Linked DNA regions of Elephas maximus indicus. The protein of the gene in region 2 interacts with the protein of the main gene of each other region in a pairwise test. Links are inferred from orthologs where the notes say so. Each region holds a gene or a part of one and is shown on either strand. Other genes may lie near its edges.

What was found.
Region 1: the proteins of TACC1 (region 2) and SH2D4A interact in binary tests that used the Homo sapiens proteins (3 or more experiments, as listed by UniProt). The two-hybrid records come from large-scale screens. The link is inferred for Elephas maximus indicus from reciprocal best matches to the Homo sapiens genes TACC1 and SH2D4A.
Region 3: the proteins of TACC1 (region 2) and CKAP5 interact in binary tests that used the Homo sapiens proteins (3 or more experiments, as listed by UniProt). The link is inferred for Elephas maximus indicus from reciprocal best matches to the Homo sapiens genes TACC1 and CKAP5.
Region 4: the proteins of TACC1 (region 2) and MEMO1 interact in binary tests that used the Homo sapiens proteins (3 or more experiments, as listed by UniProt). The two-hybrid records come from large-scale screens. The link is inferred for Elephas maximus indicus from reciprocal best matches to the Homo sapiens genes TACC1 and MEMO1.

The regions. Positions count from the first base shown.
Region 1 is NC_064840.1:56,713,335-56,720,615, reverse strand, and holds the start of SH2D4A (SH2 domain-containing protein 4A), read right to left. Parts: upstream 3,012-7,281; 5' UTR 2,591-3,011; intron 2,421-2,590; exon of another isoform or gene 2,252-2,420; intron 2,028-2,251; exon of another isoform or gene 1,941-2,027; intron 1-1,940. UniProt on the Homo sapiens protein: Inhibits estrogen-induced cell proliferation by competing with PLCG for binding to ESR1, blocking the effect of estrogen on PLCG and repressing estrogen-induced proliferation. May play a role in T-cell development and function.
Region 2 is NC_064840.1:61,920,591-61,927,795, forward strand, and holds the start of TACC1 (transforming acidic coiled-coil-containing protein 1), read right to left. Parts: upstream 3,016-7,205; 5' UTR 2,655-3,015; coding exon 2,494-2,654; intron 1,530-2,493; coding exon 1,414-1,529; intron 1-1,413. UniProt on the Homo sapiens protein: Involved in transcription regulation induced by nuclear receptors, including in T3 thyroid hormone and all-trans retinoic acid pathways. Might promote the nuclear localization of the receptors.
Region 3 is NC_064825.1:102,292,521-102,299,509, reverse strand, and holds the start of CKAP5 (cytoskeleton-associated protein 5), read left to right. Parts: upstream 1-3,975; 5' UTR 3,976-4,065; intron 4,066-6,989. UniProt on the Homo sapiens protein: Binds to the plus end of microtubules and regulates microtubule dynamics and microtubule organization. Acts as a processive microtubule polymerase. Promotes cytoplasmic microtubule nucleation and elongation. Plays a major role in organizing spindle poles.
Region 4 is NC_064844.1:35,654,590-35,662,347, reverse strand, and holds the start of MEMO1 (protein MEMO1), read right to left. Parts: upstream 3,001-7,758; 5' UTR 2,870-3,000; intron 2,518-2,869; exon of another isoform or gene 2,188-2,517; 5' UTR 2,171-2,187; coding exon 2,110-2,170; intron 1-2,109. UniProt on the Homo sapiens protein: May control cell migration by relaying extracellular chemotactic signals to the microtubule cytoskeleton. Mediator of ERBB2 signaling.

The DNA.
Region 1 (7,281 bases), about 5.2 Mb from region 2:
AAAGTAAAGATGTCACTTTAAGGACTAAGGGGCACCTGACCCAAGCCATGATATTTTTCAATTACGTCGTATGCCTGCGAAAGCTGGGCAATGAATAAGGAAGACCAAAGAAGAATTGATGCCTTTGAATTACGGTGCTGACAAAGAACACTGAATATACCATGGATTGCAGAAGAATGAACAAGTCTGTTTTGGAAGAAAACAGCCAGAGTGCTCCTTGAAAGTGAAGATGGCGAGACTTCATCTCACATACTTTGGGTATGTTATGAGGAGGGACCAGTCCCCGAAGAAGGACATCATGCTTGGTGAAGTAGAGGGTCAGTGAAATAGAGGAAGACACTCAATGAGATGGACTGATACAGTGGTTGCCACAATGGGCTCAAGCATAACAAGGATTGTGAGAATGGCTTAGAGCCAGGCAGTGTTTCATTTTGTTATACACAGGGTCGCTATGAGTCGGAATGGACTGAGTGGCACCCAACAACAACCACATGTGATATAATCTAGTATGACGCCATGGACACAAGTGGAGCCAAGGTAGAGGAAATAAAAATGAGGAAATTAACTAACCAGGGTTTTTCCCACTTTCATTCCCTGATATGATTCAAACAACTCCTAGTTATTCAAGACTAATAAAAAGTTCAACTAACTTGGTTTTTTTCTTGTACAGCACTTGTCCTAAAAGACAGAAAAGATAAGCAATAAGCTCACACCTACTATGCATTTCAAAAACCAATTTCCAAAGAGTCATAGGATCAATTCAGTCTTCCATAAAGTCCATAGATTTCATCTGATTCTCCCATCTGCCACAGCCGCTGAACCCCTCAAAGATTCCCCCCCAAAAGGCTGAAACAGCCTAAATTATAAAAATATTGTGGTATGAGCAATACAATTTTAACGTTATAATAGAGCTTTAACTTCTAATTCTTTGAAAATAGCCACTTCCATTTTCAAAATTCCCTTATCTTGTTCAATCTGTAAAGGGGCTGCTTTTGAGGACAAAATGAATTACCAGAGAGGACAGCAATTTGGGAAGTTGTTTTATAAGCATATATCAGCCTTCGGAAATTTGAATTTACTGCAACACAAGGGTTTACCTAGAGAATTCCACTCATGACAAATCTATGGCCACATTATGCCTTCCACATACTTATTCACTTTTAAAATACTTGTATCCAATAATTGTAACAGGCTTTTATGAGGTGAGGAGAATCTAAGTTTAGAGACAGGTGCAAGGGTTGCTTCCGCCTCGAGACCCTTGATCAAGGAGACACAACGCCGAGCAGAAAACCTACAAACCGTGGTTTCTCACTGCGTCTCCCAATTCCCCTCCCACCTCTATTCAGACTTGTGCGTGGACCCCGAGGAAAGGAGCGCGGCTGGAGCGGGCAGGGGTGCCCACCTGTTTGAGGAAGGCCACCCGGAGCACACTGGCACCGTGCCTGGCTCTGCCTTCCAAGCCGGCAGCCTGTGGCCCACCTAGGCCAGGGAGGTGGCGCGCACCGATCCCACGTGGCCGCGCCCGGGAACCACTGCCGAGTAGGGCGCCGGCAGAAACAGTTTTCCCAGCCCTCAAGAAATCTCCTCGAGGAGAAAGTCAATATGGTGCTATAGACGCGGGGTGTTTGTTCGCACAAATGTGGCGGTGGACGTCATAAGGTGGACGGGTGACCCAGAACCAGAGCGAAGAGCGAGAGAGACGTGGCTCCCCAGCACCGTTCTACTGCTGGAGTCCAAAAGCTAGGGAGCGCCAGATCCTCCCACGCCGGCCACCCCGAGGCGCCCCGCCTGCGCCCGGTGCGTAATCATGCGTTGTGTGCTCACACACCCCTCGAATACACGTATCACCCGCCGGGATCCCCAGAACTTCCCCGAAGGCCTCCCCCTCTAGCTTCACCCCTAGAACCACAAGCCCCCGGCCCTCCGGGGCCGCTGCTCACCCAGCCGGCGGCTTCGGACACCCGACACCTGACATCTGACACCGTCCACCAGCCGCCGCCGCTGCGCTAGCCGCTCGGCCCTACACCTGAGCGCGCCCGGGGCGGGACGGAAGGGGGCGGAGGAGGAGGGCGCGCGGCCGGGACCGAGGCCTCGCCCCGACCTTCCTCCGCTCACAGCCCCACCTCCCCTCGGTCCCCGGGCCTTCACTGTCTGGCTCGAGAACACTCCGGACACACGCACACGCACACGCACACACACTTCTCCCAGGCCTCCCCTTTCTGGTCTGCTCCCCCCCCCCCCCAGCATCTACCTGTTCAGGGCACTGGGATCGCGTGGGCAGGAGGACCCCAGCACCTGCCACGTCTAGTTGGGCCTCCAGAAGTTGTCGGGAAGGGAGGCAGGGAAAAGCAAAGGCGCCCGCGAGCTTTACAGACTGGCTGGACAAACACTCAGGCGGTGATGTTGGCAAACAGCGTCCCTCAGCCCTGGCCCGCCCGCGCTGCCCCACCCGCGGCCCACATGCCCGGCTGACTGACTGGGCACTTGGGGCCCCACCCGTGCGCCAGGAGAGGCTCCAGTGGAAGCTGTCAGCGAGACTTGGCTGCCTACTGCATCCCAGGCAGGGCTTGTCCTGCGCGCTGACCCCTACCTGCTGTGGGGTCCCTTCACACTTCCACTCCCAGTTAATTGGAGGTGTCGTGTGTAGTCTGTGATGGCTTGCCACGCCATCTCTCCGGTCCTGCAGAACTTATTAATATCAGCAGGTCCAGCCTCTTCTTCACTCCGAAGTTCAGGGTTTCTTGCAAGGAGGAGTCTGCAGAGGCCCAATAGGCCCTTCTCAGTTACACTGACCGGGTCCCGCAGGCCAAGTTGGCTCACCCTCCCGGGTTCTGTTCTTGCGTCTATGGAGCTTTTTTTCCTTTCTTTCTTCCTTTGTTTTGTTGACAGTAAGTAAATTACCAAACTCTCAGGCACTTGTAAGTAAGTACAGGTATGGCTTTGTAGAACAGGCTCCCAAAACAGAAAAGCTGGGAGGATGGAGCCTGAAAAAGAGAGAAATGGAGACGAAATGAAAGCAAACTGGAGAAAAGGAAAGGAAGTAAAGGAATCTTGTGAATGCAGCAAGAACAGGTCAGGGTGGTGCGTGAGGACACTAGGGAGGAGCTGACAGACGACTGGAAAAGGGAATTTTGGAGGGAAGTTCAGCAGAAGCACAGTGGAAAGATTATAGGGCATTTTGGCATGGCACAGGAACATTCAAAGTGTGTGGAGAAAAACCGCCTGCTTTGATGAACCCTAATTGCAGGTGTGTTGGGAAGAGATAAACAGTGAACACTCAGTTTCTCCTCCCCTGCACAGCCTACCTGATACATTCAGGAGCCAGGCTTGCCTGGTTCAAAAATAAAACTGTTTCTCATTTCTAGTGTCTCCGGACTGAAGAAGATTCTCAAAGTTAGAGTCTTGGGCAGGGGCAGATGGGCAGAGAGCAAATCCTGGGTATTGTATGGAAAACATGACCCAGCTGTTTAGGAGCCCATTCTAGGAATCCTATTTGGGGAGAATTTCTGGCCTGATTTGGTTCTGTTCCCACTGCTTATTAAATAAATGCCCTGGCGGGGGGCGGGGGGGGGGGCTTTAGGCTGGAGTGTGATTTGCCAATGCTTAGCTGATGTGGCCAGCTCAAAATGAATCCTAAAACTTAAGGATTTTGAAGTTTTTTAAAGGGTGGTTTATCAGACAGTAGGACACTGGTTAAAACCAATTACCTTCCTCCACACTAAGTTTTTCTCCATGGCCTGACAAGTCTCTCTTTATAATAACTGTCTCCCTTTGCTACCAATTTTACCTCAGTTTACCCATTGGGATAATAGCAGCACCTATTGTATTGAATTGCTGTGACAGCAATAATACATGTAAAGAGCTTACAACAGATCCTGGCAAGTGATAAGTGTTCAAGCATGTTAAATCATATTATTCCACACTAAACCGAAAAAAAAAAAAACCAAACCCGTTGCCATGGAGTCGATTCCAACTCATAGCAACCCTACAGGACAGTGTAGAACTGCCCATAGAGTTTCCAAGGCTGTAATCTTTACAGAAGCAGACTGCCACATCTTTCTTCTGAGGAGAGGCTAGTGGGTTTGAACTGCCAACCTTTCGGTTAGCAACCAAGTACTTAACCACTGTACCACCAGGGCTCCTTTATTACACACTACCAAAAACCAAACTCATTGCCATCGAGTTGATTCCAACTCAAAGTGACCGTATAGAACAGAGTAGAACTTCCCCATAGGGTTTCTAAGGAGCAGCTGGTGGACTCAAACTACTGACCTTTTGGTTAGCAGCTGAGCTTCTTAACCACTGCACCACCAGGGCTTCTATCACACACTACATACTACAATTTCAGGTTCTTATCACCTCACCCATAGGCTATGCCTCCAGTGATAGCCAGATTCCAAGTTAGCTTCAGAAATGATCCCTGTCTCCTGGTATTCACACCCTTATTCACACCGTTGTATAGTTCCCTCCCACATTGTACCAGGGCTGGTCTGTGTAACCAATAGAACATGGTATGTCACTTCTCTCCCCCCTCCCCCCATGTCCCTCTCTGTCTCTGTGTCCCTCTCTCTCTCTGTGAATTTGCTATGAGAGAAGACAGCTGCCACGTCATGAGCAACCCTATGGAGAGGCCCACACAGAGAGGAACTAAGGGTTTCTGCCAACAGCCACATGAGTAAGCTCGGAAGAGGGGCCTTCAGCCCCACTCAAGTCTTCAGATAACTGCAGCATTGGCCTACAGCCAGAAAGGAAACTCATGAGAGACTCCAAGCTAGAACCTCCCAACAAAGCCACTCTTGAATTCCTGACCTACAAACTTCGAGATAATAAAGTTGTTTGTTTTTTTTTTTTTAATTAAGCCACTACATTTTTGGGTGAGTTGCTACACAGCAATAGAGGACTAATATACCTCCTAACTGGTCTTCTTTCTGAGACAGTTTTAGTTAGCTTTAGTGTACAGGAAATTTACCCAAGTAGCTTACTTAAAACACTTCAAACCTAAGAAATACAGTAGCAGAGGGGCCCAGGGATCTGTGTTTTGAACAAGCACTCCAGGTGACTGGGTCAGAGGTGGGGTTACATACAGATCACGTGCTTAGACACTCTGCTCTAGGCAATCCAGGTCAGACATTTCTGAATAGACTTGTCAAATTCATCTTTTCAAACACTGACTCAGATCCATCACCCAGTTGCTAAAAACCTTTGGTGCCCACACTTCTTCCTGCACAAAGAATTAAGGCTAAAGTGCTTGCCAGCTGTCAAGGACCAATACCATCTGACACGAATGTCTCTCGGCCTTATTGTCTTCCTAATACTAACCTGTTGTTCCTGTTACTTGGGATCATATTAATTCCAACTCATGGCAACCCCACGTGTGCAGAGTAGAACCGCTCTGTAGGGTTTTCAAGGCTGGGATCTTTCCAAAGCGGATTACCAGGCCTTTCTCCCAAGGGGTCTCCGCGTGCATTCAAACCACCAGACTTGCAGCTAGTAGTCAAGTGCTTAACCCTACATTCAGATATTTTGGCATTTTCCAGGTCCTAAACCTACACAAACACTACAGCTTCACACCATGCCCTTTGTCCAAAATGTCTCAAACATTGCTTATGAAAAGCCCAACTGTCCTTCAAAATTCAATCTTTAGGAAACCTATCCTCTCCTCAGCCATAAGTGTATCACAGTTTAGCACTTAACACACCCTAGAAACATTTACGGGACTCCTACTAGGTGCCAGGCCCAGTACTGATACTGGGGGATGGCAGAAAGTAGACAGCCAGGGTCCCTGCTACCATCTGCAGTGCAGCATGGCTGCCACGGAGAATAACAGTGTGTATATTTTATGCTCCCTTGAAGCCGCAGACCCCCAATAGCAAGGAACATGTCCTATACAAGACTAAATATACTTAATACCTAAAGGCATACAGTAGGTATTCAATGAATGTTGGTTGAATGAATGTTAACAGCCCAAATGAATGTAGACTGGACAAAAATAGTGCAGCCATTCTCTCAGCTTGGGACCCAGTCTCACTTTCATTGTCTCCTTTCTATCCATTTTGTCATGTGCCTCTCTCGTGTACTTATAACTGTCTCTCCTCTTCTTCTCTTATTTCAGTAGTTTTTTCTCCAATCTCTTCTCTTTGTCTCCTCTCTCCTCTACCACCTTTCCCTTTTGTTCCCTCCCTCCTGCCTCCCAGTATTTTCTTTTTCAACTGACATAATGTGGAATGGAAAACATACATTGCTTCCTTAATTTCCAAAATAGGCAATTAGAATGGTTTATATGGCTCTAAAGAAAGCAAGCAAGGGACCCTGTTACCTATTTATGTGACCTTCAACTACTTTTTCTCTCCTTTTGGGCTGGTAGCACTCAGTAGAAAACATTTCCTTACTCCATGATCTACAATGTGTTGTCACAGGAACGTAGGGAGATTTGCTGACTCACCTACTGGCAACACTCTGGATACAATGTGGTATCTAGGCAACCAGGCCTTAGCCAGGGCAGGCACTGCATGCTGGGTATTGGCAGTTCAGCCCTGTAAGATGGGTGCCACCAGCACGTTGTTCAGGTGGAAGCGTTTCCTCCACCCGCTGCCAGTACATAAAGAGGAAAGCTAAATATCTATTTACTAATTTTTATTTGCCATTTATTTGTAGTTATGAACACCATAAAAGAAAAAAATTAATGACGTGTTCCCAGGCATTCCTTTGAGAATGGTGCTTAGGAATGCTGCTTCCTAGGGCTGTCGTGTACAGTCACATGGCATGGCCCTGTACAAGTAATATAGCTCCTAACTGGTCTTGTTTCTGAGACAGTTTTAGCTAGCTTTAGCGTACAGGAACACCTAGGTGGCTTATTTAAACACTTCAAACCTAAGAAATACAATATCCATGGGGCCCGGGATCTGCATTTTGAACAACCACTCCAGGTGACTGGGTCAGAGATGGGGTTGCAGATAACACACTCAGAAACTCTGCTCTAGGCTCTCCAGGTCAGACATTTCTGGATAGACTTGTCAAATTCATCTTTTCAGCGTTGACTCAGATCCATCATCTGGTTGTTAAAAACCTCTGGTGCCCACCCTTTTTCTTGCACAAAGAGTTAAGACTAAACTGCTTGCCAGCTTTCAAGGCCAGGACCATCTGACTTGAATGTCCCTCAGCCTTATTGTCTTCCTAATACCAGCTCTATGGAGGTGCTAAACACAGAGACTATGATGTATAAGGTGACCCCTGGAGTTGTCACACAGCAGCCTTAATATTGCCAGAAAGACCAGAGGTGCA
Region 2 (7,205 bases):
ATAAAGCCTTTCACCAAAGTGACTAGACTTCCCTATGCAACTTGCGAAGAAGTTATCAAGCAATAAAATACAGTCACTGTGGGGAGAGAAAGTCATAGTTCAAAAATTAACTGGTAACTGCAAGCTGTCTGTGCCATTCTTGGGTGACAGTGACGGACACTGGAAAAGAGAAACCCCTTAAAAAGGACATCTTTCCAGAGTCCCTCCTCAATCCAATAACCAGTGAGCTTTTACAAATAAAGTCAACGCACAGACCCTCGGCTCTCTCCAGTGTCTTCCATCAACCCGAAGGAAAACCAAATCTTCATCACAGTGTGATCTGGACCTGCCCTTTTCTCTCCGGCTCCGGCTTTCCCTCTGCCACTCTACTCTAGCCACAGTGGCCTCCTTGCTGGTCCTCACACATGCCAGGCACCCTCCCACCACCTGGCATCACTGCCCGCAGGCTGCTCCTGCCTCAGCCCTTTGCAGATGCCATTCTCTCTGGATGAAAAGTTCTTTCCCTGAGAATCTACGAGGCTTGCTTCCTCAATCCTCCTTCATATCTCCACTTAACTCACCTTTTCAACCATGCTTCCCTTCTCCCACCTCATACTCCTTACTCCCCCTCCCCCTGCTTTATTTTTCTCCATAGCACCCAATATAAGTTCACATATATATTTTGCTCAACCCTTAAAAGGTCCACCTCCCTTCACAATGTTAGTTCAGCGAGAGCAGGACTCTGTGCACTGCTATATCCCTGCACTCTACTGAATGAATGAATGATTCCTATCAGGAGAGGTGACGTTTTATTCAAAATTGGCTTTGTGACAAAAAAAGGTTTCCACTAATTAAGTGAAGCAGCTTCTATAGATGAAGGACAGACACAAAGCTGGGCTGGGCTAGGAGGGGATATCTGTGCCTGGGTTTCTTAGGCGGGCTGAAGGGGTTCCCCCTCATCCCTGCGTGGAAGAGGGAGAGGTAAGCCATTCCGAAACAGCCTCTTCAGAATCTACCTTAAAACTCAATTCTTATCTAAAATTTGTGTTTCCAGCCACACCCCTAAGGAGTGACTTAGCCTGAGGTTTGTGAAGCCATATCTAAACATACCCCCACCCCTGCATTACTACCAGCTAAGTTTTGTTCTTTAGGGGCAAAGGGGAAGGGCCCAGCAAGAAGGTCTGATAATGATAATCTTACAATGCAAACACATAAACCCTACTCAGGGGAGAAAGCCTGTGACCATCACACTCTTTAAAAAAAGAAGGAACTCTCAAATAACCCAGGAGCTCTAAACAGCTCTTTCTGAGTAAGGAGTCAAACAATCCAAACCCTTTTCAGTGGTCCTAAATTAACACTTCGCACCCCCCCCGCCCATGCACATTTTTCAAAACTTTAAAGCCGAACAGGCAGAAAATGAAAGTTTGTCTTTACCTTGGGCTTTGGCCCCAGGCCCTGTCAATCCTAGTGACGAATCCCTGGATCCCTTGAGAGGCAATCTGATCGGCGTTTCAGCTTCAGGAGTCTCAAAATTACCTTCAGAATCCGAGCTGCCAAGGGGGAAAAACGAGGAATTACCACTTTCAACGGTATTTCTGACACTTTATAATCTAGATAGTCACAAAGGCCACACTCCAGCATTTTCTGTCTAACTTTACATCCAAATGGTCCTCGGCACGGATCACCCTGCCCGAGGCTGCTGGCTACGGTTTCCTAGCGGTGCCCTCCTTGGGTTTCTCAGCCGGGCATCCTGTCTCCCTGAAATCTCTTCGATCCTCTGGAGCTCTTCTCTAGCACCGTTTATTTTTGAAGTCATCCCTCCCTCTAACACCCCCCAAAAGCGCTTTAACAGACTCCTTTCCTCCGAAGAGCCATTTCCTACAGGTTTAAAAATTCTCATCCCCCACCCCCGCCCAATTCTCGCCATGATGCCTTTTTCCTCAGCAGGCCTCTACCTGTTTGGAACCCACTCGGCCCCAGGCTGGGAGTGCTGTCACCTGCCTTCCGCAATCACACGGATGACAGCTTAGCAGAGACCACCATTTCTCCCCAGCTGCCAAGGGCCTGTCATCACGCGACCTTCTTTACCAGGGCTGCATTTTTTGGGACACAGCGGGGCCTTGAAGGGCCAGGGGGCGACTTCTTCCCCACAGGGAAGGTTCTAAGTTCCACGAGATGTGATCAAAGGAACCGCCCGTGTGTGTTTGTGTGCAGAGGCAGGGGCTGGGGGGTTGACGCTTGGAGAAAGTGACCGAGGCAGAAGGGAACGCGGAGACGCTGCAGATTCTGGGTTGGGTTCAGAAAGCTCATATTGACATGGAGGAAAGAAATACACGGGAGGACACAACACCCTGAACTTTCGACTGCACAGCGGGGACCTGGTTATGGGCAGGGACGTAGCATTGCCATGAACACGGTTACGCGGGTGGGCGACCACACACACGCACACAGAACGAGCCGCGGGTGAATGGATGGCAGCACGTTTGCATCTCGGCAGGGATGCTGTGTACTTGCCTGAAACTCAAGGATTTGGTCTCGGCTTGCGAGTCCTCCTCCTCGGGGTCTCGCTCGGGCCCTCCGGCCTCGTCCTCTCCGGCGCCCCCGCCGCGCACCGCAGACCACGTCCATTTCGCCCACTGCACGGGGGACAGGATCTGCCAAGGGCTGAACGCCATCAACGCGGCACCTCCGGCTCCAGGTCCTAAGGGGGGGGAAGGGGGAGAGCCTTTTTCCCTTTCAAAATGGAGGGAACCGGTGACAGGCGCCCCTAAGCGGTTCCAGCCAAGGCGCGGATGTGGTTAAACGAGCGCCGTCGGGTGCGCGGGTGGAGCGCTTCCTCTCCGCCGGCACGCAGCGCCGCTTCCTCCTCGTCCTCCTTCCCAGTCGCTGCGGCCGTCTCCGGGCCGGGTTTCTCCCGCGGTGAAGACGCCTCTGCTGGGGCCTCAGGTCTCCGGCCCGCGGCGCCCGGCGGCTCGGCCTCGGCGTCTCCGCGTCTCCAGGTCCCCGGGTCTCCGGCTCGCGCCTCCTAGCCGGCCCGGCGCGCATCAGCTGCCGCCGGAGCCGCGCCCCAGGAGCCGCCCCCTCGGACCGTACTACTTCCGCGCGCGGACGGGGGCGGCGGCGGCGCCGGCGCTTTGAAGTCTGCGATGCTCCCAGCGGATCCCCCCGCCGCGGCGCGGCGCTGGTTGCGACTCGACTGCGGGAAAGGGGCTTCCAGGCTGCGACTTTGGGAGCGGGCAGAGGACTCGGGCGACCCCGACAGCACTGTGCTTCTCAGGGGCGGGGAAAATCCATTTTCTGAGTCTGTGCACGCTGGACTTTTCCTCCTTCCCTTTTTGTTTTTTCATTCCGTTACAGTGACTTAATGACGTATTGCTGATGTTGGATCGCACAAAAGTTCAGCCCCTTATAAAAAAGGCTTTGGAGCCACTGTTGACTGGTTTTTTTCCCCTGGCTGGTACCGACAGGGTGGAAGATTTCAGCCTGGTCATCTTCCACCCTAGCACTCCCAGGCTTTGGAAATCTCTCAGCAACTCTACGAGCGCTAGTGGCCAAGGACTGGAATTTAAGATGCCTTGTGCCTCCCCAAACCGCACTCCTGGAGGCTCTGAAGTTGTCCAGTCTTGGGTAAACGGTGCTAAATTACCCCTGTGAAATTACAGTCTGGTCGGTGTCCCATTCTCCTTTTTGAGGCGTCGTTTTCATAACTCCCAAGTCTTTGCATCACTTGATTTTTGACTTGGTTTGTCAACAGGCCTGGTGAAGGCAGCCTTAAAAATATAAAAACACTTTTTCCGTTTGAAGGGACACACAGAGCTCTCCTCAGATTGTCTTCATGTTCTGTTTAGGGATTACTCTTCTCAGAACCACCAACTCGGCAACTTCAAAGGCTGAAAGACCTCCTTGCCTGTTTCTTGTACTGTTACTATCTATGATTTCCCAGAGTTGCAGTGGATCTGTGAGGCGGCTGCAGCTTCTCACAGAGAGAGCAGCTCTAGAATTTGGGGACAAGGTCATGCTGAAATTGCAAGAGACTGACCGTCTCCCCAGAAACGGGTTGGCACACATATTGCTGACGAATCTCGACTGTCATACACATTCGATAAGAAAAACAAAAGCAAAAATAATGCAAGATAAGACTTGGCAGGTAGCCTTGCCATAACGCAGGCATGTGTTTGAAGCCTAAAAAAGGAAAGAGTTAGGGTGTCTGGATGCTTGAGAATTCACCCAGCTCCTTCTCAGAGATAAACACAACTGTCATGAGTGTTCTAGGGATGACAGAGCTGTGAAATAAGCAGGAATCATCCTTTAGATCCAGATGAAATGTACCACAAAACTATTCAACTATTTTTTTTTTATTTTTTCTTTAGGTTTATGCTCACCAAGTAAAACTCATGATTTTGTGGTCTCCCCAGGTTTCTATATTTGACATAAATGCCCTGTTGCCTGGAAATATATCATAAGCTGGCATATACTAAATCCCGTTCATTCTTCATCCTGAATAGTTCTCCAATCTTTTCATTTCTTTGTATCCCTACTGTGATTGACATAGTTCTGTCACTCCCTGTTTTCCTGGAACTATTGTTAATCTCCCAACTGGTTTGGCTTGTGAGAGTTTTTTTCACCTGGGGTCACCCCTGCCTGGCTGACCTGTGACTAGTGCTGTCATCTTGTTTTGCCTCCCCCCCGCCCCACTCCCATTCATTTGTATTCCTAGTCGCAACCGCAATTGGTAGAGAATTGGTGGTAATATGCCTTCTGCTTTGGGGGCGCGTCTTAAAAACCAGATTCTCAGACCCATAAAAAAAAATTTTTTTTTCAGACCCATGAATCCAGATTACCAGCAAGATCTGAAAATCTGTATTTTTACCGTGTACCCTGGGGAATGTTTATCACAAAAATTCAGAAAAATGCCTAGCTCGAACCAACAAATTGCTGCTTCCAGAACAATCTCCTTTTTGCCTGCAGAATTTTGCACACACCTGGAACAACCCCCCTCCCTCCAAGCTTGGAGTTCTTAATTGCCCTAACAGCCTTCTTCACCCAGCAGCGTCTACTCTGGGAAATCAGGCTGATTTCTGCCTTTCTGTTAACATTTCTATGCCTCATTCATTCATAGAGGCTTTTGCTGTGGCCCTCAGTAGTTTTGTACTCTTAATAGTTACAACAGGACAAAAGGCATAAACCTGCAGTGTCCCAGGCAGACCAGGATGTAAGGTCACCCTACACTTAGCACACCATGTATAAGGTGTCTGTTCATATATCTGTCCCACTTTGGGACTGTAAGTTTCTAAAGGGCAAGGGCCATGTCATCTGCATGATTTATTTTTGTTTCCCCAGAGAATAGCACAGGGCCACACACTCAGTAGCTGTTCAACCAATGTATGATAAATGATTATCCTAGTTTACAAATAGTCCTAGTGAGTTTGGCTAAAGTGACATGAATTCCAAAAGCCTGACTGCTGAGAAAATTAAATTCTGAACTAGTAGAGAACAGGGCCCAGACCAGTGATGGTCCCAATAAGACAAAGCCCCACCTATACAGCAAAATTTTGAAGCTAAAGCTACAGTAAAATCACTCTTCTGCCAATTCTTGGACTTAACGTGAGCAACAATGAAATAAAGAACCACTCAACCGCTTGCACTGATTTTATTTGCCAGAAATACAGGTAATGAGGCAAGCTGATATATCAGTTTTCCTGTAATTTGGGGAAAGAATGGGCAATAATGTTTTGACAACAGATATCCTAACCAAGGTGAACCACCATTTTGCTGCTCCTAACTACCACAGCTTCACAGAGCAGAATGTCTGCAGATACATGACCAAGTAACCAGATGAACTGTATTTGCTTTGGAAGTGACCTTAAGCACAGAAACGGCCCCTTCTGTTCTCTTTCTTCCCTCTGCTTCTCTCCCCTTCACAGAACCTTTGGGTGAATCCACGATGAAAATCTAAAATGTAACACCTTTGAAACACTCCACAAATACACACACCTGGCCTCTAATCCATGATCCAGAGAGGTCTACAGAATGGTCCCTTCAGTCAAAAAAATAAACAAAGAATAAGCAAACCAACCAGGCAAACAACTACTCACTTAGTAGTATAGAGACTATAGGAATCCATGTGGGAATTGGCAGGAAGTTTTTTTTAGGGGCAGAGGGAGGGTGGGGCCTAACTGTGAAGGATCCCGTACCCCCATTAAGTTGTTAGAACTAAATCCTGTAAAAGGGGCACACACAGGCCTACCTAGATAAGGTGAGGGAACAAAAAGGCTACGTGGTCGCTGAGGTTTCAAGAGATCGCTGCACGTCCGAGGGGCAGCCTACCCAGTCCATATTGTCCATTGTTACCATCTAACAATTTTTCAAGAGAAACCAAAATCTTGGATTTTCTAAGAAATCTTCCAATCTTTAATGTTGTTACTAATTTAAATTGTTCTTAAGCCTTGTGGAGGCCAACACCATGCAGACCAAACAAAATCGATCCATGTGCCTACGTGGCCTATGCAGGCTGGAGGGGCAAAGGGGAGTGAGTCATCAGGTTTTTAAGCAAGTAACATTTCCGCTCAGAAAGATTGAGCTGGCAACAGCTTGGGGGTAGGGATGGAAGGAGGCAAGCCTGGGAGAACTGTAAATCTGCTATTTTCCCTGCCCCAAAGGGAGTCCCTGGGTGGTGCAAACAGTTCAGGTGCTCAGCTGCTAACAGAAAGGTTGGAGGGTCAAATCAGTCCAGAGGTACCTCGGAAGACAGGCCTGGTGATCTAAAAAAAATTTTTTTTTTTTTTTTAGGCCTGGTGATCTATTTCTGAAAAATCAGCTACTGAAAACCCTATGGAGCAGTTCTACTCTGACACACATGGGGTCACCATGAGTCAGAATCAACTCGAAGGCAACTGGTTTTTACATGGCCCAGAGAAGGGAGAGAAGCAGATTTGGAATTAGTGTCCTCTTTCACACCACTTGTCCAACAAGTACCAGTGCCATAAGCAATCCAAGCACAATGGGATCGCTTTCCCAATGGAAGGGAAAGAACACCCCTACTGCTGAGAAAGCTGAGATGAGAGGGCACTTGTCTATGACACGGTGTTGGGGGAGCGGAGGAGGCAGCAGGGGAGGGGAGGGCCAGGACAGCAGTAGGGAATCACAGAGCTAAAGAAGTAACCACTGAGAAAACAAACATCAAGTGGTACAGAAAAGCCTGTGTAACTTGTCTGTGGAAACCCCGG
Region 3 (6,989 bases), on a different chromosome or scaffold from region 2:
TTGTCTTCTGAAAGTTTGCACCAGTTGTATTCCCATTGCATTAATAATTGATACAAGGCTGATTCTCCAAATGTGAAGATAATTCACATCCCTGCATTCCCATTTCTTCATCTCTGACACCAACCACCCACATGGCATTTTCTCTCTCTGCCCCTAACCACCCTGAGTTAAGTCTTTACAAAATGACTGCCTGCACAGCCCTCTTCTGTCCACCAGCCACCCAAGGCTGGGGTCTTTACAAGTTAGGACTCTATCCTTCTAATCAACTGCCAAAAAGGCAGGCTCCAGGCCCTGTTGGCCCTCATGACCCAGGTAGGTTCAATAATTGCTAGAATGGCACACAAAACTCACGGAAAGGACTATAGTCACTAAAACTTTTAATTATAACCACAAAAGGATATACACGAACAGAGGCACAGGCAAGGTCTGGGAAGAGTTTTTGGCACTGAGCTTCGTCCCCAAAGATGTGCCAGTCCAAGGCCTAGGGTCCTTTTTAATAGTCATTGGGACCTCAGTGTATATGTGTGATGGAGTCTTAATGTATAGTCAATGACTGATTGAATTACTGAATATGCATGGCTGCATAATACCCCTCTCCCTTCCAGAAGTTATTTCGATTGGTGTGGTCTTTGGCCTCCCACCTCATCGGCTTATAGTGACCCTATAGGACAGAGTAAAACTACCCCATCGGGTTTCCAAGAAGCGCCTGGTGGACTCAAACTGCTGATCTTTTGGTAAGCAGCTGTAGCTCTTAACCACTACACCACCAGGGTTTCCTGCACATGTTTAAGTGTTGTCAAACACTTAAACAAATCTGTCTTGGAAGAAGAATAGCCAGAATGCTCCTTAAAAGAGAGGATGGTGAGACTTTGTCTCACGTACTGACACATGTTATTAGGAGGGACCAATCCCTGGAGAAGGACCCTCATGCTTGGTAAAGTAGAGGGTCAGCAACTAGAGGATGACCCTCAACGAGATGGACTGACACAGTGGCTGCAACAGTGGGCTCATACATAGCAATGAGTATGGACCAAGCAAGCAGTGTTTTGTTCTGTTGTACATAGGGTCACTATGAGTTGGAATGGCACCTAACAATAACAACAATAAGTGTTGCCAGACTGTTTTGGAAAAACAACGGCACTTTGATTGCTTGAGAAATTCCAAGGGCTATTTTCAGGAATGAGAGACAAAATGCCAACTCTTTGTTCCACACACCCACCAACCCTGTGTTTGAGTGTCTATTTCTCCAAATCCTGGCTAACCCAAGGTTATTAAACTTTTTCATCTTTATCAAGATTTTTGAAAGATTTTGATAGCTCTGATTAAAAAAAAGTATTATTGTGGTTTTAATTTGCTTTTACCTATCCCCTCTCCATTAAAAGCCTACTGGTAACCTGTTTATCCTTCAAATCTCAGATTAAAATTTCATCTCCTTTACAGATCCCCCACCCAGTGGTGTCACTAGGGTTGGTTTCACCTAGTGCGATGACTCATGGTGTCACCCCCCCATGCTAATTACCACAATATTGTAGCTAAAACACCAGAAAATTGACAAAATCAGTCACTATAAAAACACCACCAGCAACAAAAACAACAGTGCATGCTTGTAGAGTGTGCAGACAAAACTATGTGATTCAAAGCTCACTGTAATTGGGTAATAATGACAGCTCTGACCAGTGCATTAGAATGTTCAAAAAGTAAATGAGCATAGAGTTTTATCCTTTAGGTATACTGAAACATGTAAGCTGGGCTTGTGAAAAAAAATTTTGTTGCTATAACTACAGGAATTATTATTATTTTTGTTTGTTTACAGCTCAAGTTTAGTTTCTCGTACAAAAATTTATTCACACATTGTTAAGTGACCCTAGTTGCTATCCCTATAATGTGACCACACATTCCGCCTTTCCACCGCGGATTTCCTGTGTCATTTCATCCAGGTCCTTATCCCTTTTTGCTTTCTCATCTTGCCTCCAGAGAGAAGCTGCACTAAGAAGCACACTCTTAAGGAGTGTCATTTTACGTCTTATAGTCCAGTCTATTCTTTGTCTGAAGAGTTGGTTTTAGTTCTGGGTTAACAGACAGTCCAGGGGCCATGTCTTCTGGGGTTCCTCCAGTCTCAGTCAAACCACTAAGTCTGGTCTTTTTCCTAGAATTTGGGTTCTGCTCCCCACTTTTCTCTTGCTCCGCCAGGGATTCTCTGTTGTGCTCCCTGTCAGGGCAGTCGTCGGTGGTAGCTGAGCGCCATTTAGTTCTTCTGGTCTCAGGCTGATGGAGTCTCTGGTTTATGTGGCTCCTTTTGTCTCTTGGGCTAATATTTTCCTTGTGTCTTTGGTGGTCTTCATTCTCCTTTGGCTCCAGGTGGGTTGGGACCAATTGACATCTTAGATGGCCACTTGCTAGCTTTTAAGACCCCAGATGCCACTCACCAAAGTGGGATGCAGAACATTTTCGTAATAAATTTTGTTATCCCAATTGACCTAGATGTCCCCTGAAACCATGGTCCCCAGATCCCCACCCCTGCTACACTGTTCCTCAAAGTGTTTGATTGTGTTCAGGAAACTTCTTAGCTTTTGGTTTAGTCCAGTGGTGCCAACTTCCCCGTACTGTGTTGTCCCTCCCTTCACCTAAGATAATTCTTGTCTACTACTTAGTGAATTCCCCTGTCTCTCCCTCCCTCACCACCCTCGTAACCATCAAAGAATGCTTTCTTCTGTGTTTAAACCTTTTCTTGAGTTCTTATAATAGTGGTCTCATACAATATTTGTCCTTTTGTGACTAATTTCACTCAGCCTAATGCCTTCCAGATTCATTCATGTTATGAGATGTTTCAAGGATTCATCATTGCTCTTCATCGTTGTAACTACAGGGATATTTTTAATAAAAACTCAAAAAGTTCTGCTCTAAACATTGCACAAAAATTTCAGACAGTCATTTTTGTGTTACTCCCTCTGACAGTGTCACCCAGTGTGATCTGCTGTGACTCCACTGCCTCAGCCACTGAATTTCTCCCTTCACTAAGCATTTACAGCTTTTCATTATACAGTTCCATACAGCTTTGAATTTTAGCGACTTTTATCTTCCTACCACTGTAGATTGCAAGTTCCTTGGAGTTAAGGACCTGATCTTTTTCACAGACATATGAATGTATTGCTAAACAAGAATTTTAGAGAACATATTAACCAAGCTTCTCATTTTTTAAAATAACAAGAGTATGGAGTATTTGCAAAATGAGTTACAGTTCATAAAGGCTTTTCCCAGACATTTTTAATTAGTTACATTAAATCCTCACACTAAGCTTGCAAGGGAAACATCGTGCTATCGATGTTTTTTTATTTCAGATTAGGAAACTAAGCTCCAGGAAGATTTATTAACTGAGTAATGTGATTTACTCAGTAATAGGTCCAAGACAGGGCCCTGGTGGTTAAGCCTTCGGCCACTATTCGAAAGGTCCGCAGTTCTAATCCACCAGCCGCTCCGTGGAAATTGTGTGGGGACAGTTCTACCCTGTCCTATAGGGTCGCTATGAGTCGGGATCAACTCGAAAGCATTTTTTTTTTTTTTTAGGTCCAAGACCAGAATCCACCGTCCTCGTCCCGTTCCACTACATCACATCCCAGCTGCTTCTCCTTTTCCTCATAGCACTTAGCCGCACAATCAATATTTTCTGAACGAAACGACTGAAAAAAAATGCCAGCTGTAGACAGCAGCTTAAATATCTGAAATTAAATAAAGCAAAAGTGCTGACAGCCATGGGTACACATCTCTACACACACCTCTCGTCCTTTCTTTCGGGATCGTGGGCAGCTTTCGCTCCAGCGAACCTCTCTTTCTCCTGGGAGTTTCCTCACCCCAACAGGCAAGGCACGGTCCCGAGGGAAACACGACTCGCGCGGCCCCTTTAAGGCTGCGGGCGGCGCGTGCCCACAGTCCTTTCAAATGGACCAATAGAAGGGCGATGGGCAGTCAGTCGAGCACCAATAGACAACGAGGACACTGCGGGGTGTGCGGCGGCCCAAGCGGTTTTAAACGGCTTAGAGCAGGCCCCTCGGTTCTGACCCGGCTGAGGTGAGTGGGCGGTGGTCCTGACCCAACCACACAGGCCCGCAGATCTCGGCGTCGCGCGCGCGGAGGGTCCCCGAACCCAGGTCGGAGGACCTCCGTGGGCGCGCGCCTCCCATGCCCCACGAACCCGGCAGAGCTGAGGCGGCGAAACGGGGCGGAGGCCCGGGGACCTGCGGCTGGGAGTGTGCGTGGGGCGCCGGCGTGCGTGTGCGACCGAGGCCGAGGCTGGGTTCCCGGTGACCGGAGGGGCGCGGGCGGCAGCACCCAGGAGGCGCGAGCGGCGCAGGGCCGCGGCTAGCGGCTGTGTTCCGGGGTTGGGGCGGGGGCCCTGCGAGCCGGCCCTGAGATTGTGCTCGTCACGTAATTGTCGAATGAATGAATGAGAGCCTGGGAAGACTGTGGTGGTTCTGAAGGGCCCGGTCGCCTCGGAGTATGATAAGGGCGGTGGTACCGGGGCCTGGCCGCGCACCTCTGTCCCTACTGGCTTGCTGCGATTTTAACGATTCTGGTCATTCACCGCTCCGGTGTTAACGCCTGACTTTCTCTAGGGCAGGAGGCTAAGCCTTTCAAAGGTGTCGATAGAATTTAGGTGGCTTTCCAGTTTTGTAGGGTTTGAGGACCAGTATAACAGCCAGCAGTGTAAGCTAATCAGGCCTTGCTAGTTCGGGGAGGGGGGGTGCTGGTAAACTACACTCTTACTTTTTAGCGCTTAACCACTCATCGACCATTGAGATAGTTACCCTGCAACCCTGGTAATTGTCAGGAAGAATTTAAATGCATCCTGTTTTGTTTCTGGCATAGAAAATGATGAAATTGGTGTTGCCAGGGTGTCCGCTGTGGGTTAGAAAATATACGTATTTGTCTCGATGAATCTTAATGAGTTTTTCGTTCAGTGTCTCTATAGGGTGAAGTGGTTTTTGCAGAACTTGTCCCACATTTATGCATGGCTCTAATTTAATTCTCGGGGGAACCAGGGCATCAAATCTTGGCCCAGAAATGCTGCCTGTCTTATTTTATGTATAATTATAGTAATTGAAAACTCATTTTTCGAAAGGTGAGCTCCTCCTTTCCCCATTTTTATCTCTCTGAGAAGTCCTTTTTTGACCTCACGAATAGCAGCTGCCAATAATTAAGCTAAGTTTTTTGAAACTTTTATGAAGTCATAAAATATTTGGACTTTCTATAAATTACTGGACAAAATGTATTGTTTTATAAAAATTAATGATATAGAAAAAAGTGAAATCGATTTCTTTTGCCAGCATAAATTAAACCTGGTTTGTAAATTCGTGAGAAAAAATTTTTAACACAGGTTTTCACACAGGCAATATTTATACTTTATTCTCTTATTACTTTAAAAGTCTTAATCATCAGGGTTGAATTATAAGGAGTGGTGTGAGGTAGTTCCACCACAACTAAAGCCTTCTACAACTGACAGCTCAATTTTAGCAGAGTTTTAAATTGTAATAAATTTGAGTACTTTAAATATTACGAACACTGGTCTAGGTTCTGAAGAAGCAGTTAAAAATAATGAGCATCTTTAACAATGCCTTCGGATAGTGTTAAAAGTCTTGACATACGGCCAGACTTTCTTTTGCTTCTTTGATTTAATGGGGTCTCATTCATTTATTCAACAAATACGGAGATTGATATCTACTATGTGTTAAACCTAACTGAAAGGTTGGTGGTTCGAACCCACTAGCCACTCAGTGGGAGGAGGATATGGCATTCTGCTCTCCAGCCAAGAAAACCTATGGGACAATTCTACTTTGTTCTATAGGGTTGCTATAAGCTGGAACCGACTCCATAGCACACAATGACAGCACTGTTCTAAACTCTATTCTAGGTTCTGGGAATACCCTGGTGATCCAGAAAAAGACAAAGCCCCTGACCTTAGGGAGTTTTACAGTTTTATCCCCCCAACAATTTATTGTAGCAAATTGTAATTTTTATAATCTCTGTGGCCCAGCTGTGGTCCTTGAACAAAATAAATTCTCAAATACATTTATTAGCACTAGCTACATTTTTTGAATATTCATTGGGTGCCACATTTTATCTTTTCTAATCTTCACAATGGAGCCCTGGTGGTGCAGTGGTTAAGCATTTGGCTGCTAATCAAAAATCCACCAGCCAGTCCTTGGAAACCCTATGGGGCAGTTGTGCTCTGTACAGTAGGTCACTGTAGGGTCATGAGTTGGAATTGACTTAACTAGACAGCAATGGGTTTGGTTTTTTTGGTTAATCTTCACAACAACATTTTACAGATGAGGAAACTGAGTCTTAGAAAGGTTATGTAACTTGTTCAAGATCATACAACTAAGTGACAGAACATCATTTTGAACCCAAGTTTGTCTACAGGGTCTTTGTAAGGCTCTTAACCTATAGTTAATGCTATGTGAAGTAATGGGGTCTGATAGGGACAATTCACGAGCAATTTCTGTGTAGAATCGCTCCTTCCCACACTTTTTTTTCTTCTATTTAAAGACATGATGAAGTATGAGTGACAGGCGCGTGGTAGTTTTTAGAGGGAAGATGGACACAGTTGAAAATACAGTGTTAGCAATATGGGAGATAGACAGCTGTGACAGTGTGGTGGGGAACTGGAGGGAGAATTTAAAATTGAAGTCTCAATCCAATTATAATTTATGAATTTCTGGTCGTCAGTTTTGGAGAGTTTTGAGGTTCTTAAGGGATTCTGGTGTTCTTTCTTCTAGAGTTCAGAATATGTTACTTAGTCCTATCAGGGCAGTTGTCGTTTGCTGTCAAGTCAATTCGGACTCATAGGCGCTCTGGTGGTGCAGTGGTTACGCTCTCGGCAGCTGACTGAAAGGGTGGTGGTTCAAAACCACAGCGTAGGAGAATGATGTGGCATTCTGTTTCCATGAAGATTACAGCCTAGGAAACCCTATGAGGTTTCTTGTCTGTTCTGT
Region 4 (7,758 bases), on a different chromosome or scaffold from region 2:
AGCCTGGATCTTTTTTTAATAAGGTTCTCTGACAATTCACGCTACCAAAATGACATTATTGATTTCACTCAGAATTTCAGAAAATACAGATGTTTAAAATTTTAATAGTTAATTTTAGCTTACTGCTTAGAAATAGCTATATCACAGAATTTTCTGAACTGGAAACAACCTTAAAGGATTCATCTTATATTTGAGAAGATATACTAAAGAAGACTTTTCAAGTCCAAAGTGTTATTTATGCCTTATTTTACTACCCCAAAAAATGTTCAAGAATCTATAAAAATGCCTCTAAAATCATTTGCCCACATTTCAATGCAAACTCAAAAAAAAGTTTAAAACATTTATGGAAAGGTTCAGAAAACTAATACAAAAATAAACCAAAAGACAGCATCAAAGTGAAAACTAAATAACAAAGCATGGAAGAAAAAGCTTAGTAACTTACAGCCCAGAAAGACTATTACACTGACAAACTGAGTATTAATAAGACACTAGCCTGGTGATTGGAGGATAAACCCAAGAGCAAGGGACTCCCATTTCTCAACTGCTGTTCTGACACTGTTTTAGTATAGACATTGTCTTGGGCACATTATTGAACTTCTCTACATGTTTCTCTATAAGTTTAACCAGAATAGCTTAACTAATATCCTCAGGTTGTGAGAACTGATTAAATGCTTATGAAGTACTTTAGGATCATGAAGGGTATTTCCTGTACCCATAAAAAAAAAAAAAATAGTACTTGTTTAATACAAAACTATAGCTAACTGTAAGAATTATAAATCCAACCATGACAATACTTTTGTGTTTTCCTGACACAGCATATCTTCAGCAAGTAAGGTGTGTATATTTAAGAGCCAGTTTAGCAACCTCAGAGAAATTAATTTTCTTCCAAATCTTAGTTTTCTCACAAATAGAAGCACTATCCAACCCAATTATTTGCAATGGGAACACGATCTGATTCAACATTAAGAAGTTAGGTCTAGTTGTTGATAAACCAGTTCCAAATGACTGAAGACTTGGGAATCACAGTGGAACTTTCTTTTTTAACATACCAGAATATGTGACTCCTAAAAATAATCCCAGAAAACAGTCGTTCTAACAAGAGCTTTTTAAAAGGGAAAGCCATACACTCTTATATAAGGAACTCTAAAATGTATGTAAACAGTTGTTAAACTAGTTCCTTACGTAGTTCCAGCAGCTGCTTGGTGTTGAACGACTAGACACTGGGGAGGCTGCTCTGGAAAAGTGCTGATGCCATTTCCAGCTGCCCCGTTCGTGAATGACAGTAACAATGAAAACACTAACAAAGAGCTGGGAGGCCACCCAAAGCCTCTCTCAGCAGTACTTCTGCACTACCCCAACATACAAAGCTACAAATCCCGAAGAATGCTCTTCTTTTACAGAGCTCACACGCTGAGACCTTGTCTAGTCGAGTACGTGAAAAAGTACTATCCTTCACTCCCAGCCTTTCAAGAGCGCGGAGCACCTTGGTGCCTCTCTTTCCAAACTGTCAGAGGAAAAAGGAGAAAAGACTTCCTCTCACGTTAAGGGGTGAAGAGAACCAGGTGTGCAGATGGAGACAACACCCTCTTGGTCGAGGGCGCCTCAGGCTTCGCCGGCGGGAGGAAAGGAGAGCAAGTCCCTCGCTCGGCAGAGGGCGGAGGGTCGCCCTCCTCTGGTGTGGGAGAAGCGGGACTCCTTCCCCGGGTGGGGGTGGCGGCCGCCTACTTCCCGGGAGCCAGAGGAACCAAAGCCCCTCCGTGGAGAGGTGACAAGTACACTCGGGTCGGGAAGCACAGGGAACATTCCTTCCTCGAACCTGGCCCCGGGCAGGAGGAGACTGCCGAGGCGGCAACTCGCCCAACTCTGGGGCGAGCTTGAGGGCGGCCGACCCAGGCTGCCCGCGCCGGACGCCGCCCGAGTGGGGGAGGCGGCGAGGCCGTCCTCCGGCCCGCTCCCTTCCTACGCGGACCGTGGCCGGCGGCCCGTCCGCACCCTCGTCCCAGCCTGTCCCCTGGGGGCCAGGCCGCCGACCTCCGCCGGCCGGGCGCGGGGCCAGGCGGCGGCGGCGGCGGCGGGCCGACCAACCGGCCGGCCGGCCTGGGGCCCTACCTGAGGCTGTGTACCAGCTCCCAGCGTGACTGGCTTCCCGGCAGACCACTCGGTTGGACATCTTGGTGCCTGTGCCGCCTATGGTGCACGAGGATGAATGAGGAGAGGCGACGGCAGCAGGAGCGGCTCTGCTAGGGGACGAGACACCGCGGCCCGGCCCAGGAGGCGGCGGCAGTGGGGAGGGGATCGGCCCGGCCCAGGAGGAGGAGGAAGAGGAGGAGGCGGCGGCCCAGGAGGAGGAGATGGCAGCCGGGGCGGCGGCGGTGACACCAACAATCACCACAAACTCCGCAAGCGCCGGAAGATGGGGCCCTCGGCGGCTTCGCCGAAGCCCGGAAAGCCCTGGCCCGGGCCCCCGGACTCGCCGCTGCTCCCCAACCGGGGCTGGTTCCCCGGGGCCGCCCCCACGGCCCCTCCCCTCCTAGTCGGCTGTTCCGAACCACAGCCGGTGACCCCACCCCCGTGACTCCGTGCCCGCCCCTCCCCCCACCCCCACGGGGCTCCCTGCACCCACCCCCACCCCGGGCAGGGCCCTTCTGCCTGCTGGCCCGCCCGCCCGCCCGCCGGCCCCGCCCCGTCCGCTCCGCCTCCCGGCCGGGCTACTAGTTTAACGGCGGACACCGGACAGGCCACACAGCATTTAAGGTCCGGAAGCCGTGCGAGGAGGCCGCGGTGGTGGCTGCAGCTCCGCACACACAAAAGCCCAGGGTTGGGGCCTGAACCGGGGAAAACAGCCGGAAAAGAGCCAACGCTTCCTTACTCGCCACTCTACCGGGTCCTGCCCACTGAGCATGCCCAGCAGCCGCTGCCAGGCACACCGAGGAATCTCAACGTGCACGCTCCGCTTTCCGGGGTTTAGCGGCAGCAGAGGCTGGGAGGGTGAGGACACGGGGTGTAGGATGTAGCCACAAGGCCAGCCCCCTTCCCCCCCCCCCCCCGCCAACTTCCTTAAATGGAGAGCACCTAGGGCACTCAGACTGGACGGTGCATGTGCAGCACGTAACCCCCACCGTCCACAGAATCCTTTCTGGGTTCGCGCCCCCAAGGTGTCAATCCTATGAATACAACTGTGTGGCCACCTCAAGAAGTTAATTTGTTGAGGCAAGCATGTAGTAAAGGGGTCCTGTACATGCTAATACTTGCTTCACAGGGCCACTCATAGCACCTAATCGTGGCTTTTACACTGTAAACATTTATCTTGTCTCACGTTATATTTATGTTGGTGTGTGTCTTATCTCCCTAAGTAAAGTGTGATATAGCTAGCCTCAGTTATTCTCATCCATAAAAAGGGGATAACAGTACTCCAGGAGTGTACCTAGGATTATAAGAGTCGATGAATGTAAAGAGCTTGACAAGTAAGACATAAAACATTATTTCTACCCCTCCCTTATTACAAATTCCAGTATTACACATAATTATAAAATAATCACAACGAAGTAGGGTTATCTTGGTTCTCTGCAAAAGTGTTATGAAGTAGACCATTCCGAAACCAGTTAGAGAAGTTGCTATATCCTCAATAAAAGATTTCGGGTTAAAACTATGAAACTCTTACAACTAAGTTTCACAATAAACAGGACCCTGGTAGAGACAAAAGGAGACTAGTGGCTATTCAAGCTTAGGTTTCCCTAGTGCTTAGGAAATAATTTTTTTAGGGACTGTTATGTACTAAATTGTGTCCCCCAAGAATGTGTCAACTTGGCTAGGCCACGATTCCCAGTATTGTGTGGTTGTACACCATTCTGTGATCTGAAGTGATTACCCTATGTGTTGTAAATCTAACCTCTATGATGATAATCGAAAACCCTGGTGGCGCAGTGGTTAAGAGCTATGGCTGCTATCCAAAAGGTCTGTAGTTCAAATCCACCAGGCACTCCGTGGAAACCCTGTGGGGCAGTTCTACTCTGTCCAATAGGGTCGCTATAAGTTGGAATCAACTCAATGGCAATGGGTTTTGGGTATGATGATAATGAGGCAGTGTTAGAGGCAGTTATGTTGATGAAGCAGAACTCAATCTACAGGATTAGGATATATCCTGAGTCAGTCTCTTTTGAGATATAAAAGAGAGAAACAAGCAGAGGGGAGAGGGGGGTCATACTACCAAGAAAGGAACACAGGGAGAAGAGCGTATCTTTGGAACCGGGGTCCCTGTGCTGAGAAACTCCTAGACCAGGGGAGGACTGATGACAAGGACCTTCCCCCTGAGCCAACAGAGGGAGAAAGCCTTCCCCTGAAGCTGGTGCCCTGAATTCAGACTTCCAGACTCCCAAACATGGAGAGAATAAATATATGATTGTTAAAGCCCTCCACTTGTGGTATTTCTATTATAGCAGCAGTAGATAACTAAGACAGAGGCTATTCTCAACTCTGTTCCCTCCTTCTCACTTTTTTTACCGTCGAGCCCTAGGAGTTTGTGTGAAAGCCCAGACCTAAAGCCTAGTCAATTTCTGGAACACTCCTTCACACCATTTTCTACATTGTTATTAGGCTAAAATTTCCACTTTCATTTTTTACTCAACCTTTACCATCTCACTTCACTACTATCCTGTCCAAATATTAAGGTAGTATGCTGAAAAAAAGATTTCAAACGGCAGCTCGAGAAGACAAAATAAAGTATTATAATGACATGTGCAAAGACCTGGAGTTAGAAAATCAAAAGAGAAGAACACGCTCAGCATTTCTGAAGCTGAAAGAACTGAAGAAAAAATTCAAACCTCAAATTGCAATAATGAAGTATCCTACAGGGAAAATATTAAACAACACAGAAAGCATCAAAAGAAGACGGAAGGAATACAGAGTCACTACACCAAAAAGAATTGGTCGACATTCAGCCATTTCAGGAGGTAACATATGATCAGGAACGGAAGATACTGAAAGAAAAAGTCCAAGCTGTACTGAAGGCACTGGTGAAAAATAAGGCTCCAGGAACTGACAGTATACCAATTGAGATGTTTCAACAAATGGATGCAGCGCTGGAAATGCTCACTCGTCTATGCAAAGAAATTTGGAAAACAGCCAACCAACTGGAAGAGATCCACATTTATGCCTATTCCAAAGAAAGGTGATCCAACCAAATGCAGAAATTATCGAACAATATCATTAAAATTACACACAAGTAAAATCCTGCTGAAGATTATTCAAAAGCAGCTGCAGCAGTACATCAACAGGGAACTGCCAGAAATTCAAGCCAGATTCAGAGGAGGACGTACAACCAGGAATATCATTTCTGATGTCAGACCAATCATGCCTGAAAGCAGAGAATACCAGAAAGATGTTTTCTGTGTTTTATTAACCATGCAAAGGCATTCGACTGTGTGAATCATAAAAAATTATAGATAACATTGTGAAGAATGGGAATCTCAGAACACTTAATTGTGCTCATGAGGAACCTATACATAGGTCAAGAGGCAGTCATTCGAACAGAACAAGGGGATACTAAATGGTTTAAAGTCTGGAAAGGTGTGCGTCAGGGTTGTATCCTTTCACCATACCTATTTAATCTGTATGCTAAGTAAATAATCTGAGGAGCTGGACTCTGTGAAGAAGAACAGGGCATTAAGATTGGAGGCAGACTCATTAACAATCTGTGATATGCAGATGACACAACCTTGCTTGCTGAAAGTGAAGAGGACTTGAAGCACTTACTAATGAAGATCAAAGACCACAGCTTTCAGTATGGATTACACCTCAACATAAAGAAAACAGAAATCCTTACAAATGGACCAATAAGCAAAGTAATGATAAATGGAGAAAAGATTGAAGTTGACAAGGATTTCATTTTACTTAGATCCACAATTTAAACACCCATGGAAGCGGCAGTCAAGAAATCAAACGATGCATTGCATTGGCCGAATCTGCTGCAAAAGACCTCTTTAAAGTGTTAAAAAGCAAAGATGTCATTTTGAGGACTAAGGTGCACCTGACTCAAGCCATGTTGTTTTCAGTCACCTCATGTGCATGCGAAAGCTAGAAAATGAATCAGGAAGACAGAAGAACTGACGCCTTTGAATTATGGTGTTGGCAAAGAATATTTAATATATCATGGACTGCTAAAAGAATGAACAAATCTGTGTTAGAAGTACAGTCAGAATGCTCCTTAGAAGCAAGGATGTTGAGACTACATCTCACATACTTTGGACATGTTATCAGGAGGGATCAGTCCCTAGAGAAGGAAGGACATCATGCTTGGTAAAGGATCAGTGAAGAAATGGAAGACCCTCGATAAGATGGACTGACACAATGCCTCCATGGGCTCGAGCATAACAAGACTGTGAGGATGGCACAGGACCAGGCAGTGTTTTCTCCCGTCGTACACAGAGTACATAGGGTTACTCAGTCTGAACCAACTCGGCAGTACCTAACAACATGCAAAAAAATAATAAATGAATATGCCATTTAGGAATTCCAGAAAAAGTAGGACTGAAGCTCTGATTCCATAGGACTGTTCCTGGAGTACTAAAATTCAGTGATAATTGGTGGAACAGTAAATATTTCAACCACTGTAAAGTTTAAGAAAAGAAAATATCAGAACTGTTGATATAGTGACTGCTCTTGTAGTTAATTATTGCAAATTTTGTTCCTGGGGGTTTGAGGGGACTAGATATAATGAAAGCTTCTTATTTCAAGCCCTTCAAGTCAGAAAAGCACATTTGAGTCCTGGCTCTGTCACTTATAAACTGTATGACCCTGCGCATCTAGTAATTTAATCTTTTCAAGCTTCAGTTTTCTCATCTGTCAAACACAAGCAAGCTTGCCGTAAGAATCATTTAGTATGGTATGTGAAAATTCTTTATAAGCTATTCTTTATAACTATGTGTTATCATTATCCTCTGCTATTGTAGCAACAATAGTAGGTCTCATTCCAACCTAGTAATCTAATTTAAAATTAAGCCTCCTCCCTATTAAAATGCTCAGTTACACACTTCTTTCCCCAGAGGAATTTTCTTACTGCTCAAACTCTGCAAAGACAATATCAATTAAAGTAGAAGGTTAGAGAATCTTCCATTGTCTCTTTAGAAAGCTCTGAGTATATACCAGCAATATTCCCCACGTCTACCCTATTTTGGCTACCTTATTCAAGGATGTTTACACTGGCTAATGCTTTTCAGAAGTAGGCTGCCAGGTACTGGCCATTTTGAATCAGACAATCATATAGTCTACTATGCTGGGAATGACAACTCGAAGAAGAATGGTATTGCATTTATCATCAAAAAGAACGTTTCAAGATCTATCCTGAAGTAGAACGCTGTCAGTGATAGGATAATACCTATACACCTACAAGGAAGAGCAGTTAATACGACTATTATTCAAATTTACGCACCAACCACAAGGGCCAAAGATGAAGAAATAGAAGATTTTTATCAGCTGCTGCAGTGTGAAATTGATCGAACATGCAATCAAGATGCATTGATAATTACTGGAGATTGGAATGCAAAAGTTGGAAACAAAGAAGAAGAATCAGTAGTTGGAAAATATGGCCTTGGTGATAGAAACAATGCCAGAGATCGAATGATAGAATTTTGCAAGACCAACGACTTCTTCATCGCAAATACCTACTTTCACCAACATAAACGGCAACTATACACATGGACCTCACCACATGGAACACACAGAAATCAAACTGACTACATCTGTGGGAAGAGACAATGGAAA